Struthio camelus: one gene and its partner. The protein of the gene in region 1 purifies or fractionates together with the protein of each later gene. This does not show direct contact. Links are inferred from orthologs where the notes say so. Each region holds a gene or a part of one and is shown in the gene's direction. Other genes may lie near its edges. The genes, in order: NELFB and NELFA.

The links.
Region 2: the proteins of NELFB (region 1) and NELFA purify together in Homo sapiens (affinity purification with mass spectrometry; 8 studies listed by BioGRID and IntAct, counting the BioPlex papers as one, with this or other methods). This does not show direct contact. The link is inferred for Struthio camelus from reciprocal best matches to the Homo sapiens genes NELFB and NELFA.

What each region holds. Positions count from the first base shown.
Region 1 is NC_090961.1:11,647,384-11,657,148, reverse strand, and holds the start of NELFB (negative elongation factor B), read left to right. Parts: upstream 1-6,082; 5' UTR 6,083-6,440; coding exon 6,441-6,584; intron 6,585-7,519; coding exon of another isoform or gene 7,520-7,637; intron 7,638-9,765. Other genes in the region: ectonucleoside triphosphate diphosphohydrolase 2, read right to left, coding at 528-623, 1,526-1,798, 3,006-3,233, 4,607-4,766, 5,533-5,683, 7,520-7,637. UniProt on the Homo sapiens protein: Essential component of the NELF complex, a complex that negatively regulates the elongation of transcription by RNA polymerase II.
Region 2 is NC_090945.1:77,948,567-77,957,545, forward strand, and holds the start of NELFA (negative elongation factor A), read left to right. Parts: upstream 1-4,926; 5' UTR 4,927-5,072; intron 5,073-5,358; exon of another isoform or gene 5,359-5,561; intron 5,562-5,808; 5' UTR 5,809-5,821; coding exon 5,822-6,073; intron 6,074-8,979. UniProt on the Homo sapiens protein: Essential component of the NELF complex, a complex that negatively regulates the elongation of transcription by RNA polymerase II.

The sequences.
Region 1 (9,765 bases):
GAAAAGAAAGCTTGTTACCCCATTATCAAACCCTCTAGAGAATGGCCAATTTGGATGTTATTGTGAAAGGGATGCTCAGTCAGTGTAAGCTCTAATGAGGGTGACTTCATGAGTTGCCAAGCTAGCCAAAGAACTTCTATTTCCCCCATAGCTTAGTCTCCATGGGTCCAGGTGAAATGGGAAGATCCCTGGACTCTGAGCAGATGTGTTCCTTGTACATAGGGAGAGGAGGATAACAAGGAGAACAAGGTGATGTATAAGCAAGACTAGGCAGACTGCCTTTCTATCCCTAATATGCAGTGAAAGGTACTGGTGCCTTTCCATTTAATCAAGTCCAGGTGTTACTAACAGCAACAGCTGGGATTTGAGAGGAAGGGAAAGCCTGTTTTCTTAAAGTAAAAAGACAGGCAAATCCAAGTTTTTCCCCGAGGGGGTCAGCAACTTACGGCCTGAGACACATGAGCTTTTACAGCTGGGCTGTTTGTTGCTCTACTCTATCTGTGCACACTAAGTTATTCCACATTTACCTCTTTGACAGACATCCCACAAAGCTTGTTGACTGCCTGACCCAAGTCAGGAGAGGGTACAGTCTCTCTCAGGAAGTCCAGGGCCTCAGAAATCACCTATAACAGCAGCAGAAATAATCATCAGGTTGGATCGCGCCAGGCATGCTTCCATATAGTGTGTAAGGGAAAGTAGGTGGCAATAGCCATTGGGCACATTTCCAGGATGTCCTTTCTACTTATCTGTTTGGTGGTTACAGTGCTTCTGATGGGCACTGGGAAAACAAACAGGAGCTGTTACTGTCTGAAGATGGAAACTGGACTAGCTTGAGATTCTAGCTTCAATATAGCAACCTTCCTTGCTCTGGATGTGCAGTAGGCTAGTCCTTATGCTCCTTGGTACCATATCCATGGGAGGCTACTGGCAACAGGAAACTGGTGATTTCTGTAATCCCTTCCTCCACAGCCCTTCTCTGAAATGTGCTCAGTGTGCCCTAGCATCTTGAGCAGGTCCTGGCTTAACATCCCAATGACTTTGAACACTAGATCCAGCATTTCAAGGACATAAGGACACTTGTGGTAGAGCATCCTCAGATGTTTACTCAGAAAGGGACAGAGGGTCTTTAGCTTCACCACAGACTTGACATGGGAAGAGATGCTCAGGGCAGAACTCCTGCCTGCTCTGACCCTGCTGGCTCACATGAGCTCCATTATGGCTCTGCAGTGCCCCAAACCTCCTCTCGCAAAGAGACGCTGCTGACGCGTGGGATCAGTGTTGTACCACAGTTATTGGTGGAAAGCCTGGGTGCCCATTCGAACAGCTGTGTGCTGAGGAAGGGGAGAGGGCAGGATTGCATGTCTACAGCATCAGCACTGTATTCAGCACTAGCCAGAGTACTGGCACTCCTGGCTAGCAGAGAGTACAGAACGGCTGGTCCCACTATGTTTATTAATGATCAAATTGGTCCAGTTTCATGGGCTCTTCATGCCAATTGCTTACCCCAGTATAAATGAGAACCCACCAGAAACTTGGTCCAGGGACGCTTGAAAACACTGCTGAGGGAATGCTTGAAGAAGCTGCAGGAAGCAGAAGAGTTGAGCAGACTTTGCACGAGTCTCCTGCAAGCAGTAGAATTGCTGGAGCCGGTGACATTGAACACCTCCTCAGGGCTGGGGGTTCCCAATGTGTCATCACTGATAGCACAGGGCCCAGCATGCACTGAACGCCATTGCACTTCCTGGGAGTAAGTGAGGGGCCAGCAGGGGTTATATATAGTTTTCACATTTCTCTGATCCTAGAGGGGCAGAAAAAAATGGGGACAGGTAGCAAGAGAGGAGACCCAAGAGAACTGCTCAAGGCTTTATAAAAGAAAATGAAATATAACACAATGAAAAACAGAAGTTATTTTGTTTGCTTTTTCTCCTGATGTGACAATGTCATAATTGAGCAGGCAGGTTGCAAAAGGCTTGCAAAAACCTTATCTAAACTATTCAGCTGCAAAGCCTAGACCTCTGGTACAGCATGGTCCCAGCTCCCGCTGAGTTCAAGGCAGCCTGCAATGACTGAGCCTGCTGTTGGAGGATGAGAAGTTGAGCATGTAGGAATTCCTGGGGAATTCAGTGTTTTATGATGCTCCAGCCCTCATGCTCCCTGGTAGCTAGGGTGACCCAGGTGGTGTGCAGATTACTAATCCCCTCTTCCCGAGCAGCTCTTTGCCCATAGAGCCATGCAGGTCACAGGGAACCCCTCAAGAGTTAGCATTTCTCGTCCTTAGGGATTCCCTGTAATATAATCATGAGGTGGGTCTCCATATGAGTCTCAGATAAGGGGCTGTTCCCTAGAGAAAGGTGTGGCTGGAGCGTGTTTAGGGGGAGCCAACTGAGGATGAATTCATTTATGAGTTCATTTTTGAACAATTCAATTTTCGTGGGGACCAAAACCATTCATGACTTTGTATCAGATCCAGTCAACCCTCTACCACCCCCTCCCCCTCCACCCAATGAAATAAAATTCGGAAGAATTGAAACACCTGTGTGTTTTCAAAATTGAATATTACTATTTTAGACTATGTCAAAGTTAAAGTTGGGAAAAAAGGTCCCAGCTGGTTCCCAGGTGTTGCTTTTTAGGCTCCCCTTGTAGAATGGAGGAGCAGTTCAGAGAAGCCAAGGGAAGTGTTTGCCCCTCTCTACTATGAAGGTGGTCTTAGCACCTCTGGAGAGCAATTTTGTGCTCGTGTGCCTTAAATAGGAAGCCAAATAGAGCCTGCAAATAAGAAACTGGAATGGTTGCCTTTGTATATACTTAGAGGACATCGATTCAGGCATGGAGACTGTCTGAGGCATTGGGCTTTTAGATGCATACAAACACCCTCAATTAAAGATGGTCACTGATGTTTCACCTATTACCAGCTACACTAGCTCTTGCCTTATGCTACTGTCATTTGGTACAGGGGATGGACATTGTATCTAGGAAACTTGCAAATGCCAGCAGCAGATACTCACTCGTATGAGCATGGAGAGCAGCCTGCTGCGGAGCTGGTCTGTGCTGTGGCAGGGGCACTGGTAAGCATACACCTTGTGTGTTTGCCCGTACAGCTGCAGCCTCACTCCTCCTTTTGGTGCCTGGTTCTTTTCTTCCATCTTGGAAATGAGCTGTGCTGAGGTTCCTCCTAAGGACAGGACTCCTGCTGTCCCCTTCATGGAGGGGATCACCTGTCCTCGCCAGTCATACTGACCCAAAGAGAAACAGAGAGGTCGGTTCTTAAGACTTTTGCATCTGAGTCATGGTCAGTCAGATACAAGCATTACTGCACAGAGAGAGAGAGAGAGAGAGAGAGAGAGAGCAGCTTTCTGGTGCAGTACAGCCCAACTCTTATTTCCCCACAGGGCACGAAGATGCTGAACTGATGGCTTCAGAGGGAGCAGAGGGGAGAGCCACTGTATAAGCACTGCCATTTGCACAGAGAGCTCACCACAGCCAGTGAGAGCAAACAGTAGATTTCACCACCTCAGTGGGCTGTTCAAGGCAGCGGTCTCTGTAGGTAGGAACAGGGGAAAGAGGAGAGGATAGGGGGAGCCGGGAGGAAGGCTGCCAGGTGGGTAGATATGGGCTTCAGGTGCTGCCTAATGCCAAAGTGATCCTCCTGTCAGAAGAACCCTGTGGTTTCATGTCCCACAGTCCTGCAGAACTGATTTTGGCAATGCTGAAGTTAACAGTAGAGGCAGGAAAGCTTATGCAGGAAAGCTTTTACTGACTGCAGATGTAAATACTCTGCCCACGGCCTGGGTGGGCTGTGCTGTTGCCAGCGGTGCTAGCAATTGCCTGACTGATGCACATTTGCTGCTTGTTATCAGAACTGCCTTTTAATCCGCTGCTGTGGAGCTGCTGTTGTCTAACCCTCCTTTATCTGGCACTTTGAGACCTTCTTGAGACCTTTTGCCTTGAGAAACTATGGATGGAGCAAAGAAAATTACATGTCTTTTTCTTTAGTGAGCTCCTGAATACAGACCAGGACCCTAAGCTGGGGACGCTGTCTCATCACTGTCTCAATGAGAGGAAAGTTTGAGGGCTTTTGCTTTGGCAGCCAAAGACTCTTGTGTCCACCGTTCACAGGATGTCCTTTGGGCCAGCTGGACTTTGGTGACATTCCCATGCCATCCCTGCAGACATAGCAGCAATGTCTGTTTCACAGTGGTTCTGAGCTAGAACTGAATGGCTTGGGGCAACAATGTTCTTGCTTTATGCACTAGGGCCAGGCTATGTAAGGTTATCTGTGTTTGAACGTCCCAGATGTGTTGTCCAGAAAACCTCAGATCAGTTACAACAACAGCATGAGCATATCCATGAACATAACCTATATTAGAGGTTTGGTACTTCAACCCAGTTTTAACCATGTTATCTCAGGTCCACCATGATGGAGATGATATAACCTGCCTTCTTTGAAAGTCAGTGGAAGCTCTGCTTACGTTTTGTTCGAAGTGCAGAGCTATAACAATCCCTCCACATATCTCTGTTGCCGTTTGATAACGGGAGTCCCTTGCTGTTTGATAACGGGAGTCCCTCAGCTCAGGTCTGTACTCCCCAGGGCGGGATCTCCCTTTACCTTGACAAAGTTCTCCAGGACGTAATTAACAGCAACCCAGTTGAATGCTTCCTCATCCAGGCTGGACAGGATTTGTGCCCCCCAAAAGTCGAAGGGGGATGACTTGAGGGCTACAGTCAGGGCCGCAAGAAGAGCGTCAGAGAGGGTGGGATTGGTAAGGCTAGACAGAAAAGAAGCACATTTGTTACAGGGCTCCACCAGGAGCAGCCTGCAGTGGGTGCAGCAGCAGGACTTGTGCCGTGTTCCCCACTTTGGGTAAGAGTTCAGGGAGACACAATGAAAAGCCTGCTCCCACTGCCTCTTCCCCCTCCCCTCATACTGCACTGGGGGCAAGCACAGCCTGGGCAACAAAAATATGGAAAGGTGATTGAGCAGCTGGGCTGCCATTGGGGAGCCTTGAGTTCAGATCTCTCTGCCACTGCAGGATCCTGTGGCTGTGCTCCACTGACCTGGCACCTCCAGACCTTATTTTTCCCCAGTGTCTAAAAGGAGGTGGAGAGGTCCTGGTAACAAGGTAATTGAGAACAGGGTCCAAATAAGTATGTAGGATAAAGTAGAGCTTCCCACCGCAGCTCCCAGCCTGCTGACAAGAACCACCACTGCAAACCCATGCAGCTTGCCACATAAACTGAAAACACTTCAGCTTCCAAACAGACAGATGTTGTCCCCAGCCCTAGTTGGGAAAGGGACTTTACACAGATTGGTAGCAATAGCAAGCCTATCATCCTCATGGCTGTTTGCAGGGGGATGGTATGGACACACAGCTGTGCTGTACTCCCCTTGAATGCACAGGGAGCTGAGAAAGGTTTACCTGACCAATGGATTGGGGATGAAACATGCTGCAGAGCAGACAGGGTGAGATTCATTTACAGTGATCCACATGATGTGTGCTGATCTCTGCATGTGGGTTTGCAACATTCACTCACTTCAGCTGCCTCATGCTGGCAGTTGCTCCCAAGTAGAGGGGGGTTTGGCTGTGCTGCTCTGCTGGGATCTCTCTCTGGGCCCAGTGTAAGCATGGCTCCAAATTCTTCCCTACTTCCTGAGGAGAAACGGAGTAGCTGGAGACTCCGGGACCTATGGATCAGAGGAAAGAATGAAATATCCTGTGTGAAGATGTGGGAGAAAGGTGAGAGCAGTTGCCAAAGAGATTAAGCATGCCCTGAAGGACAGCAAAGACGTCCCATCTTTGTCATAGCCAGAACAAAGCAGTTATTTCAGTGGACTAGTAGCCATTCCGGTAAAACGCTGCATTGGGAACAGAACAGCAAATAAATGTAAATCCTAAATCACACACTAAGAGAACTCTAGCTGTGCTGCTAAGTTATCCTATAGATGACCACGTATCAGCTATGCGACAGCTCTTACAGCTGAGGCTGTCTCACCCCATAGAAGTGTGGTTTTCACCACTGTAAAAGATAAGCAAAAGGACACACTGACACGGAAATGAGACTTGTGCATCAGCTTCCTCTTCCAGCTGCTTCCTCATGTGTTGGTAGACATGACTGCTGAACCGCATGCCTGCAAGCAGGCCACCTCTGCTCTGAAGGAAGCTAGTGCTGCATGGAGAGCAGCTGTGTGCAAGCCCTGACTCATCCTTCCAGCAGGAGTCAATGGGAGTTTTAAATGTTTTTGAACTACAAACCATAGAAGGCCTTGCTTCCTTATCCTCCAGGCCACTCGTGTTCCTGGCTGCATGACTACCTCACCGCGTACCTTGCTCTCCTGGGCCCTGAACAGAGCTGCAGATTGCCTACGACCACTCAAAGACTGTAGCAAAAGTGGAATTTGAACCACCGTTCCTAAGTCCTTGTCTGCTGTCTAAGGCCCTACGATGCTTTCCCCTCCAGCTTCATTTCAATTACCACAGGTCTCTGCTGGCCCGCACTGCCACACAGACCAAGGACTGCTTCTTGCATCTGGGAAAAAGACTTGCCTGGACGTTTTGTCACTGCTGATGACTCTGCTGCAGGTTCACGTAAGTATTCAAACACTGAAGTAAAATTGTCATTTTTAACACAGTAAGTGAAGATACTAAGTGGTAGCAGTTGAAGGATACATACAAGGTTTCAGGGAACTGTTATTACATCATCTGTATGTGGCTGGTATTGTTTACAGTCTGGGAGAGCGCAAGCCCCCTTCTCTGCTTGCTGTGTGGCTGCCCTCTCCCAGCACCCTGTGACACTGAGAGTTCAGGGTTTCCCAGCATCCTGCTATAATCATGCTTCGCTATCAAAGCAAGATCGTGAGACAGGGAAGAAAAACCCCAAGCATTAATGCATGAACCCTGTTTAGCTGGCTCTGGCAGGAGTGAACTGACTCAAACCAGCGAGGAAGACCCCAAGATTCTCTAAAACCTGACACCTAAAACCACAGCCTGCCACAGTACTGTGGGGACCAGCTGTGGCATGTCAACCTGAACTCACACTTGTGCAGCCAAACCTCACAGAGGGGATTGGAGGCTTCACATCTCTGTTGCGGAGCTGCAGCACTTACTGCCCAGATAACAGTCAGGAGGAGGAAAAGGTTACTAGGAAGTCCCCCTCTGTGGCCAGACTTGTCTCCATTGCTGTTCACCATGTCCCTTGGGTGAGAGGCTCAGCAACCTTGGTTCTGCCACTGGTCCATGTGGAGATCAGCGCAGCGCCATCCCCTCTGTGTGCTTCCCTGCCCATAGCAGGCTAGTAGAACTTTCATCTGCTACTGCAGAATCCTCTGATCTAGCCCTACCCGTGTTGAGAAGGCCTGTGCTGAAAATGTACAGCCTGCGCTTCACTGTCACTACCATCTCAGTCTGCAGCTAGATGATACAGGACTCAAAAACTGCACAGATGGGCCATACACAGCTCTCTTGGTTTCCAGTCATCCCATGCCAATCCCATAGACCTTCCAAACATGAATCGGGCATCTTACCTTGCACAGTACAGGAGCTACATTCCCTGATCACCCCGGTGTTGTTTGCTTTGTTGGCAGTCCACTGGTAGATGAACAGGATGGTGTGGGATGGGCCAGCATCCAGAATAATGCCATACTGGAAAACCCCAAAAGCATTATAGCTAAACACCACTGAATGCACAGTTTGTTATTGCAGGGTTACTCAGCGTTACACAAGTGTTCTGGGTAACCCATGTGCCCACACTGCAGTATTTGAGTTAGCTTTTTTAATTCAAAGAAAGGGTGAAGCCAGAAGATAATGTGGATTTGCAGTGAACCATCTGCATTGCCGAATATATGTGAGGAGCAGCAGGAGTGGAGAAATGCCCACAAATATATATCTACAGTGGCAGCTGCTGGACATGCTCTGTAGCTGTTCCTGAAACTGTGCAAAGGGTTTCCATTGAGAGCTGAGCCATCTGGAGCGCAGAAGAAACAGGTCCTACGTAGGTGGAAGACAGCACTGTACAGGCTCTCTGCTAACTCTGGGACTCAAGCTGCTGCTGGATTGGTTTGCTAAAGAGACAAGGCATTTGGGGAGAAAGCAGAGGGCTGTGGCTTGCTCTTGCTTCTGAGGAACTCAAGAGACTTGCATGTCTGTTTGGAGCCCTGCTGCAGAGATGGTGTGACACAGATTAGCTCTGCCTCGATGCATACCAGATCTGTTGGAGCCACAGTGTACTCGGGCAGACCAGCATGTATGCTGTCCAACACAGCAATCCCACACAGACCAAGATAACGTCTCAGCAAAACTGGCAACAGCCAGCATGAGATTTCTCAACACCTTATCTGCTGAGAGTGACCCCTCCCTCGTGCCTAGCACTGAGGCTGAGGACTTTCTTGCTTTTTGCAGCCCAGTGTGCAGGTTTGGAAATGAGAGGCCACAAGAGTACCCCACAGCATAACTTGGTGCCTGTTAACGGAAGTCCTTGCTCTCAAAATGGCCCTCCTCTCAGGAGATCTTTTCCCCTTTCTACTCCCTTTACGTGACTCCAAACTGGGACTCTCCCACAAAGAGAGAAAGGAAACTTGGGAGATCTGGGAGGTATGTGGTTCTGCATGACCTAAGCTGTATCTTGCACAGCAAAATTTGTAACTGTGACTGAGTGGAGGAGAAACATCCTCAGAGGTTGATGTTAACGTAGTCAGAAGGGTTTAGCACTAGACAGCCTGGCTGCAGCCTCCAAATGAAACTGGCTTCCTCCTTCCTCTCTGTGAGCGCTCTCAGCTCCACCAGGCACGCACTCCAGCTCCCAGGCCAGGAGGTGGTGTGACTGGAGCCTGAGCAGAAATGTGGAAGGAGGACGTAGCTCCCCGCCTGAGCCTGCTGGCATCCTCCCACAAAAGTGACAGCTCATATTTCTTGCAGGGGCATGTCAGCTGCTGCAGAAGAGCAAGAAATGAATGATCTTGGTGGGCAAATTCAGAATTTTTTTCTCCCTCACAAAATGAGAGACCGCCGTTGGGAGCAAAAAGGAGGAGGAGACCACATTTATGCCACAAATCAACATCAGGGAAGAACACAGATCTTGATGTTATTTTGGGTTGGCAGAGCATGGAACAATAAGGACTTTTTAAATGCAGTTCTGTTTCTAAGCGGCGCATGGTGGGTGGGGAGTATCTCTAAAATCATAGGTTAACCTATTTCTGTTCAAGTAAACCACAGCGTGCAATTGACCTCACCTCAGCAGTTTTGCATCAAGAGGCATAAGCAGATAGAGATTTACCCCTGCATCACTGGGCAGATCTGAACCTGCTGCGTAGAGCAGGTTGGCTCTTCAATAAAAATCAAAAGTAAAAGGGATGGAAAAGGAGTAAGCATAATAGATTTTTTTTTTTAAGGACCGAAGCAGTTCAGGGCCACTTGAACCACTGGTCCCTTACTGCTCTGGGGCAGTTCCTGAAGCAGGCTACCTCCTGTACTCAGCTTGCAGTGAGGGTCTCTGCTGATCAGTGGACGATATTCAGCCTGTACGTTCCTTGACCAACTGAACAGCTGAAATCAAATGGGATGTTTTGTTTTCGGTTTGAAAAGCTACAGCATTTTGAGGGAGACTAACCCATCCTCACAGTCTTGTGCTAGTCCTCTTCTCAGTTTATTGATTTGGGCTGGTAGAGTCACTCAGTAGCGCAATGAATGTAAAAAGCAACAAAGCCCAACAGTTCTTTGTTTAAATGTCAGGCTTGCACCAGGGATAAGCCCAAGGAAACAGGCAGCTTTTCCT
Region 2 (8,979 bases), on another chromosome or scaffold:
TGCACAGCCAAGCTTTAAGCTTCAGTGTGGTACAGTACTCAGGTTCTGGTTTCATTGTCCCAGAAAAAGGAGAACATGCCGTCCCACTGGAATTCTGCCCAACATGCTGCACAAATACGTAAGCAGGTATCAACAAATGAAGGAAACGATTAGAACATAAGCAAATACTGCAATAAGTGATCTCTATTTTAATAAGTGTAAGAAACACATCAGCAGGAACTCTGGAAAGTTCACGGCATCTGCAGCTACCACTAAAAGCAGGAAACTGTGTCTGTGAGAGTTACGAGCTTGTAAATTCACCTACCTGTGTTATGCACCTCTCCCAACGTTGATGCTGACCGGGATCCAGAGCAAGCAGAGGAGGACTGTGAAATCCAGGTTCTCCACTGACTCCTAGGTCTGGAAAGGGTTTCAGCCCTGCATCTCTAAATCTCCTAAATCACACCCAGAAGACCCAGCTGTATCACACGTAGACTCAAACAGTGCAACAGGATATGTATGATACAATACAGCTTTATGGTAAGACTTAAATAACGTAATTCTTGTCAGGCTGTAAGAGTGTGTCCTTCCTTTTTCTGCCTCCTGGGCTTTTGAGCCTTTCTCCTACTGCTCAATATGGGACCAATGCGAAAGCATTTACAAGCTTTCAGTCCTCTTTACTCTTTCTCCCTGTGCTGATGCTGTGGCCCATATGGTTCAACGTCTTGATCAGAGGCCTGGACAATGACACAGAACATTTCCTTAGCAAGTTTTAAGGACACCAAGTTAGGGAGAGCGGCTGACACGATGAACAGCAGAACTTTATTCAGAGATACCTCAATAGATTTCAGGATTAGGCCAACAGAAACCTCACAAAGTTCAATAAGGCAGAACAACCTCAAATCAAAGCAGTCCGTACAAATAAAGTCCTGGCAACTCTAGGAACGGACACACTAACACCACGCTGATGAGCTACTGATAGTGACAACTGAGGATGTGGAAAAATTAGGTTTCCAAACAGAGAAGGCTGCGTTTCCTCAAGGATGGGAGCTGCACATAAATATGCCACTGTTGCAGCTCTGCAGAGGCTTCAAGGAAATTATCACTGCTGATAATCTTCAATTATCAGGCCTCATTAGCCACTACCACGTCAGGGCCTACGAGTGGCAGTGTATGAAGTGAAACTGTTCTAGAACAAGATTTAAAGCAAACGACCACTTGATTTCCACCTCTCAAGGGCTGTCTTCATGGGCCTTTATCATCCTAGGTTTTAAGTCCTACACCATTTTGAAGTTTATTTAAAAAAAAAAAGAAAAAACATAGAATTGTGTAGCTGAAGTCCTAAGTAAGAGGGTGGGACGGTAATGTAAACATAATCCTAGACATAGGTAACCAGATGATAAACCCTTGCAGTAGCTTGCATCATGTCACATAAATTCACAAGAGAGGAACTAGCCGGTAAACTTTTCATAGCTACGAAAGTACTTTTATTTTTATTTCTGATAGAATAGAGCCATATCCGTTTCAAAAGACTTTGCCTAGCAGGAAAGGTAACTGGTTGTGTCACAGCAGATGCAAGAGGTTACCACAAGTAAGCTGAGCACTTGACTTGAGGAAGTCAAATAATCTGTTTTTGATGGAGTAAATTCTGAGAGTCACCTTTCAGATCCCACTGCTACAGCAAAGAGTTTTAAGACACGTCAAATAAACTCAATTTTGAATGACTGGTTAGCTTAAAAGTGCAGGAAAGAAAGACAGAGGTTTTGATTTTGTTTGTGTGTAGGGAAAAGGCCACCAAAAAGCAATACACACCCTTGTATTTAACAAGTAAAATCTGCTGAGATCACTCAGACAAAAGGAAAATGCAGAAACTTATAAAAAGCAGAGTTTAATGAACTGAATGAAAATAAAAATGGTAATAAATACCATTTTATGGAACCAAGTGCAGCTTAATGATAATTTAATTTATATGTAAAGAAAGTAATACAGTGTTTCCTTAAGACGGTGTGCACCTGAAACACACTGACAGAATACCTCTGTCGCTGGCTGCCATAAAGGATAGTAGCCTGACTGTCAGTCACTCTGTTAGCTCCAGTGACAGACTGAAAGGTCTTAACTATGCAGAAAACTTAGGCGTCAACCTGATACCACATGATAAAATTTGTCTTCTTATTATGCTTCTAAAACTTAAAAAAATGCACTTTAAACAAAGTATGGAAGCATTGAATGTATTAAACGTTTGCAGTGTTCAGATCGCCAGAGTTGCACAAAGGGGAAATAACGTAGCACGCTAAAGTAGCATTACATGTAAAGTAGCATTACAAACCTAATTAGAGTTTTTAAAAGCTCAGTTATTCAGTCTTAATGGAATCCTTTTAATAGTGCGTGGGGGTTTGGGTGTACTATATAGTACTATGCTATACAGCCAACTGCTTTGTCTACCTTCTCGGGTCAGTCCCTGTCATCACAGTATGAATCATAATCTGAAGCACTGCTGGCTCAGAAACTGTCACAGTTGCAACCGCAGGATGCCAATGGGAACTTAGTGCCACTGCTAATGCTAATGATATGTTTATTGCACACGCTTCAGTGCTTTCTAAAACACAGTAAAAGCTGCTGCTTCCCAACTGAGAACTCAATGCCAGCACCGCTCTGAACCCTCTGCCCGTCAGCGTTCCACTCCTCGATTTGGGTGCCCAGCTGAGATGTGCTGTTGCTTCCCCTAAAATAGGAAACTTCTAGGCATTATCCCTGTAACTTCCTTCTGAATATACACAGCTATTCTGAGTCTGATAGCTAACACAGCAGGCTGCCCTCACTGATGCAGCACTAGTTCATCCCAGCATATATATTTTTGGACAGGCAGTGAGAAAAACAGCAGGTCCGGAAATCCCTGGAGCACGGATTTTGGTATGAGGTAAAGAGTTACCTTTCTTGAAACAAATATAAAGTGGATTGGAAGACGTGACTCTTTGGCTGTATCTGCTTTTATGTGAACACCGTCACAATTGGGGAAGTGAATCTAGATTGTCTCCCTGCGATCTGTCTCATAGCATGCTCTTAATATTTCTCAACAATTTAATATCCAGTATTACAAACTTTGAATCAGGGACTTGCAACTCAGAGGAGAAAATATCTGCGGACAGTTATCTGCGTAACCCAACGTTATGTGGGATATCAAGCACTTTCAGAGAACTCAAGTATACTCCATTAACCTACAGGTTCGTGCATCCATGAGGAATGAGCACTTTGGTATTTGCCATATTACTCTGAAAATCACTACCCACACTAGACAAAATCTAACTGAAAAATAAATAAAGCTTTATTATATTCAAACAGAAAGTTAATCTACTAGTTACCAGACAGGACAAAACCATGATCTTATAACTAGCTGGCGTTTTGTCTTAATCTCCCTAAGCTCTGCATGCCCACTCAAGTCAGCAGCTGACAAGCACAGATTTGCAGGTGGTAGGACTGGAGCCACGTTTGCTATATAAAACCTTATATTCCAGATACACCTCAGAGAATAGACTCTCTTTTGGGGGTCACCCTTCAGCTAAGAAAATAAAAATAATTACACCAGAACAGACTAAATGGCCACGCTGCCCACTGCTTTCACCCTTGACAGTGGGCAAAAATAGACGCCCCAAGGGAGCATGTAACAAAGAAAGTATGTAAAAAGTACTCCCTTACCTTCCATCAGTGTGCAGCTTTGGCATCACCTGAGCAAGACGGTACCTAATCCCATACAAAGTCTACCAGAACAAAGTTACCTTTTCAGGAAATGGTCCGTCTATATGAGCTGGTAGAGAGAGGATGTACAATTCTACTTGTGGCACTGTGGTGCTGTAGAGTATTTATCAGCTCTGATGCCTAAAAAACACTTATACCAGCTCTCGGAAACAGTTTAATTCTGTGTGTTAGCTACCGCCTGAACACAATTAGCTGCAAAAACTACAGGGTATTCTGTGATTTGCTTTCTCCAGCCCACCTCCAATAGGAGTTGGTTAGTTTTCTCTTCACGTTTGAAGTTTTCATTGCTTAGCTAATTTTTTTCTAGTTGCAGTATCCCATGGAATATACATTTTCAGAGGTAGAAAACAGAATCAAAGGTGAGACACTGAGATTATGCCTCACCAGCCGATTTGGGGGATTCTGTCACAATTGTGCCACTTAACACTTTTTACTTTCACAACACTTTAGCAGAGTCCATAACCTTCTGAAAACTAGACCTAATTCTGTCAGAGGCTCTATAACGTACAGGAATATACACTCTGCACTTTGGGTAATCTACAATCGGAAACTCTCTCTCCTACCAAGAAGCAAATAGTTCCAATGAACTCTGTGGGATGTCGCACTGCAGTTAGGCACATGCTTAGCTTAAGTCTTAGCAAGGTTGGTGCCTACTTTAAACAACTGGGTATGATTGGCGAAAGCAAAGTTCTGGAGTTGGCAACAAGAATGTAGTAATTACTCCTCAAAACAGTGTTGAAGAGTCAATGTAAAGCTCCTCAGCACCAACTGCTCAGCTCGACAGGTTGTAAACAACCTCCTGATGTAGGAAGAAAGTTGTGAAGAAAACGTTTTCCTTCAAAAGCTTAAAACAGAGAAAGAGAACAAGTGAATGCGCTAGGCACTCCTACCACAGCTCTTGTGCTTTCATTTCAATGAGCAAAGACACTAAAATGAACTCTTTATGCTGTACCTGAAGAACTTGAAATCTTCTGAGATTTAGGTAACTGATTAATTTTTCATATTTAAATAACAATGAGCTGAATCACGAGGGAATGAGCATATGCACAATAACCCCTAAATTTCAGAGTACCTACTGCTAGCATTACAGGCGCAGCGGCAACTTCCTAAATCTCAGCAGCACCCAGCCCAGAAGTCCCTGGGGGAAAACGATGAGAAGGGCAGTTAGCTCTATTTTGGTCAAATCATAGCGTTACACAGAGATTTCATCATCCACCACCGTGCTGGCAAGCTCTGCGGGGTGGTTTCAGGCGGGAGGAAAGCCAGGGGCACACGGAGGAGCAGGAGAGGAGGCACCCCGCACGCAGAGGTGGGTGCACCTCAAGGCGCCATTAGCTGCAGTAAGCAACCCACTCTGCTGGCAGGAAAAGTGAAAAAGGGGGAGCGGGGTGGACACGCTTTTTCAACACAGGCCCTGAGGGCGCTGAGGGGGCCCCAGCGGCTGCCGCCGGGGAGCCAGGCTGCGAGCCCGGGGGGGGGGGGGGGGGGAACCGGGCCTGAGGGAAGGAGACGTGGTGCCACCGGCAGCTGTGCCAACCCCGCGGAGCGGCCCAGCCCTCCCCTCCGAGGAGGAGGCAGGGCGGCCGAGCGGGGCCCTCGGCCCTTCTCCCGGCGCCGCCAACGGCCGCGCGGGGCCAAGCAGGCGGCTCGGCGGGCGGGCGCCCTCCGAGGAGAGGGGCGGGGCCTGGCCTCCGCCTCGCAGCTGTTCCGCCCGGCTCCGCGGCTGGCCGGGCGCCCCAGTCCCGCTCCGCGGCCGAGGGGAGTCTTGGAGGAGTTAGGGCAGGGCGTCGGGAGCAGCAAGCTGGAGCTGACAGAGAAGCTGCCCCATGGTGAGGTTACGCCATCTTGCGATACGGCGGCGGGGGGGGGGGGGATGGCGGGCGCCATTTTGCATCTGAGCGAGACACGAGAAGAGCCTTGGTGGTTTTCTCTGTGTGGGCGCCGCCATTTTAGGTTACGGAAGAATCTCCGCCTTCCCTAGAGCGAGGTTCCCTTGCAGGGCGCCGCCATTTTGGGTTACGAACGAGACGGCGACCCGCAGGGGTCCTCACTCCCCCTCCCCCTTCCTCCCTTTAGGTGTCTTCATAAAATGCCCGTGGAGAATCCCCTCTTTTTTCGCCCCGCTCCCAAGATGGCGTCGATGCGGGAGAGCGACACTGGCCTGTGGCTGCACAACAAGCTGGGCTCCACAGACGAGCTGTGGGCGCCGCCGAGCATTGCCTCGCTGCTCACGGCTTCGGTGATCGACAACATCCGCCTCTGTTTCCACGGCCTCTCCTCGGCCGTCAAGCTCAAGCTGCTCCTGGGGATGCTGCACCTGCCCCGCCGGGCAGTGGATGAGGTGAGGGCTGTGGGTAGGACGTTGCGCGGGAAGCTTAACCGAAACGGAGTGTGGGGGGGGGGGGCGAGGAGTCGGAGATGGCGTGAGGGGAGAAGGAGGGGGGCACCACCTCCCTCCCCCTCCTTTAAATGGAGTCGGTGGCGCCGGGGCGCGCTGCCGCCCGCCTCCCCCCCCCCCCCCCCCCAACGGCGCGCGACGAGCCGTTAGCGCGGCCGCGCCGCCCCTGAGGGGGAGCCCGGCAGCGGCCGCTTCCCCAGGGCGGGTGGGAAGTAATTACCGCCTTCCCCACGGGTATCCCCGCTCCTTCCTGGCAGTTTTGTTTATTTTTTTGTTCCCCCCCCTCTGTAGTGCGGTGCGTTGAGGCCCTGCTTGGAGGCTGGGCCCTCAAAAAGGTGCTCAGGTTTCTCCCCCCCCCGGTTAACGGGAGTGGAGTGGCGGCGTCGCTGCTGCTCCTCTTCCTGCTCGTGAGGGAATCTGTGGTTGGCGCTAGACTTCTCGAAAGCAGGGCTCGGGTTTCAACCTGAAACCTTTCTTAACGTGTCCAAGCAGACTTGTAGCTTTAGGACTATATTTTGCTAGAGTTTGGGGACTTCTGGTGCCTCTTTGGGGAGGGGGGAGGGCTTCTCTGAGCCAATGCTTGCTCTAGGTTTAGGCCCCAGAGGGAAGATTGGCCTCCAACAATAACGTGGAGAAGATCTCATTTGCTTTCTTTAATACTGGCAGCTGTGTGGATATCCACAGGCGAGTATCTCGGATTTAGGAAGGACAGCAGCAAGTGCTGAAACTTTGGGAATGGAAGATCTGGGGTTTGCACTGAGCAGTGTTTTCCCCACCTTCTTGTAGTCAGGACTTATTGGAGAAAATTGCTGTGGATTTTTGCCTCCCCTTACCTTTCTAGGAAGTACTTGTTCTTTCCTTTACTGCCGTGACCCCAGCTAATAATCTGGCTGGCCGGATTTGGATCTGACTTTGCATGGAGTCAGCATAAATCCAGCAGAGTTTATTCGCTTGGCTCTGGACCGTGTGTCATCTGCCGTTGCCTTGTTCTTACCAGTAGGCAGATACAGATATTTGGGGTAATAATTGGAGAAGGATTGGGAAACATTGAGTTTCTTCAGCCAGGTTGGAGGAACTCCTGTTCTTTTATCCAGCATGTGTGGTGCTGGTTTCTGATAACAGTTTTGGAGATAGTGAGTGGTTTGGGCTTCAGCTTTTTGTGTACAGTATCCTCAGTTGTGCTTGTAGCAGTCCCTTTCATGGGTAGGTTGTGCCTCTGTTGCTTACGCTTAATAGAAGTATATACTAGACATAGTGTAGGGAGACTGTGCATAGTTCAGATTATTGTATGCTTTACTTCTGTGCACTTCTAAGCTTAAAATGCAAAAGCATTGCTTCCAAGCAGTAGGTTAGTGTATGCCAGGATCTGTCTTGCCAGATATATCTCTATGGTTGTTACTCTGTTACGCGTAACTGCAGTTGCTTTTAAAAAGACACTTTTTGCTCAGCATATGCTTCCTCTGTTTTTAAAACATGTTTATGCCTTGTGCCTGTCCAGTGCACAAGCATTCTTATTTGGGCGAGACAAATGCAGTTTTGCTTTTTAGTTTTCTACAAACAAAATAACCAAGGCTGGAAAGGGGGGTAGGGAACGACCCCTCAGTTCCCACAAACTCTAAGTATGTAAAATTCTTCTCAAGTGCTGTGAAAATCCACATAGCTTGGAAGAAGAGTCTTGCAGTATTTGGTGAAAGTTAACAAACTAGTGGTGTTTTTAGGCCTAAGAGAAGGGAATTTTAAAAAAGCTTAGGGTCCTTCATAAGTAGTACTCAATGCCAGCTCTATGGTGAGGGAGCAGCAGTTCAAGTCAACTAAAACACTTGGTTGAAATGCTGCAGGAGCGCTCACTGGACTTGCACTAAACCTAATTTTTGTTGTTATTTGTTTAAGACTAATTCAAATCAAGGAAGATGGCAGCAGGCCACTTACTTAATCTGTGCTTTTGTTAGCTGTGGAGATGAAGTGTCATGTGAAGAAGAGCAAGCTGGTTTCTGTGCCCTTTAATGTGTTGTTAAAGTGATCAGTTGTGTTCCAAATGTAAACACTTTTACTGCTATTGCTAGAACAAAAAAAGAGTGTTGTGGGATTTTTCAGTTCTCTGGTAGAGTTGAAGTCAGTCATAAATCCAGTCTTTTAGCTGTAAACAGAGCATGCTTGTTCTAGAGCTAGGGTTTTGCTCTCTTTCCCAGTCCTTTGCAAAGTACCTTAAATTTATTTAAATTATTTCAAGGACTTTTTTTTTTTTGAACTTTCCTCTCAGTGAAGACGTTCTTGTTAAATTAAGAAAATGATGAGGTAGAAACCTTTAACCTTGCTAACAAGTCTGATTTATTTCGTTATAGACTGATTTCATTATAGATTTCCTTCTATACGTGGTAAAAACTGCCAGTGTAACAAAACTGCTAGCTAAAGGGAACGTTGTCTTCTCAAATATTCATCTTGTGAATTTGCTAAAACAAGGTTGTGTTTATCAAGGTTTGTTACATAGCTTGTTCTCGTGGTTTGGGATACTCTAACTGGTATTGGATATTTGACACATTTATTAACCATAAAGTTGCTAAGTGTTTTGTACTAGTGTTCAGTTCTGTATATACACACACACTCTATATATGTGTGGGTTCTCTTCCTCTCCCTCGTGCTCTGTGCTTCTATGCAGTATTCTCTGCACTATATATTATACAGTGCTGGACATAGTCTTTTTGCTAGCAGAAGTACGCCAATATAGAGTACCTATGGCTATCTGGAAATTAAATCCTTCAGGCAGAAATCACTTTGACTCTGTTACTGGTCTCTGTGAAAGTACTTATGTTCAGAAAGTCATATGTATATTTTTCCTGACTTGTTACGTG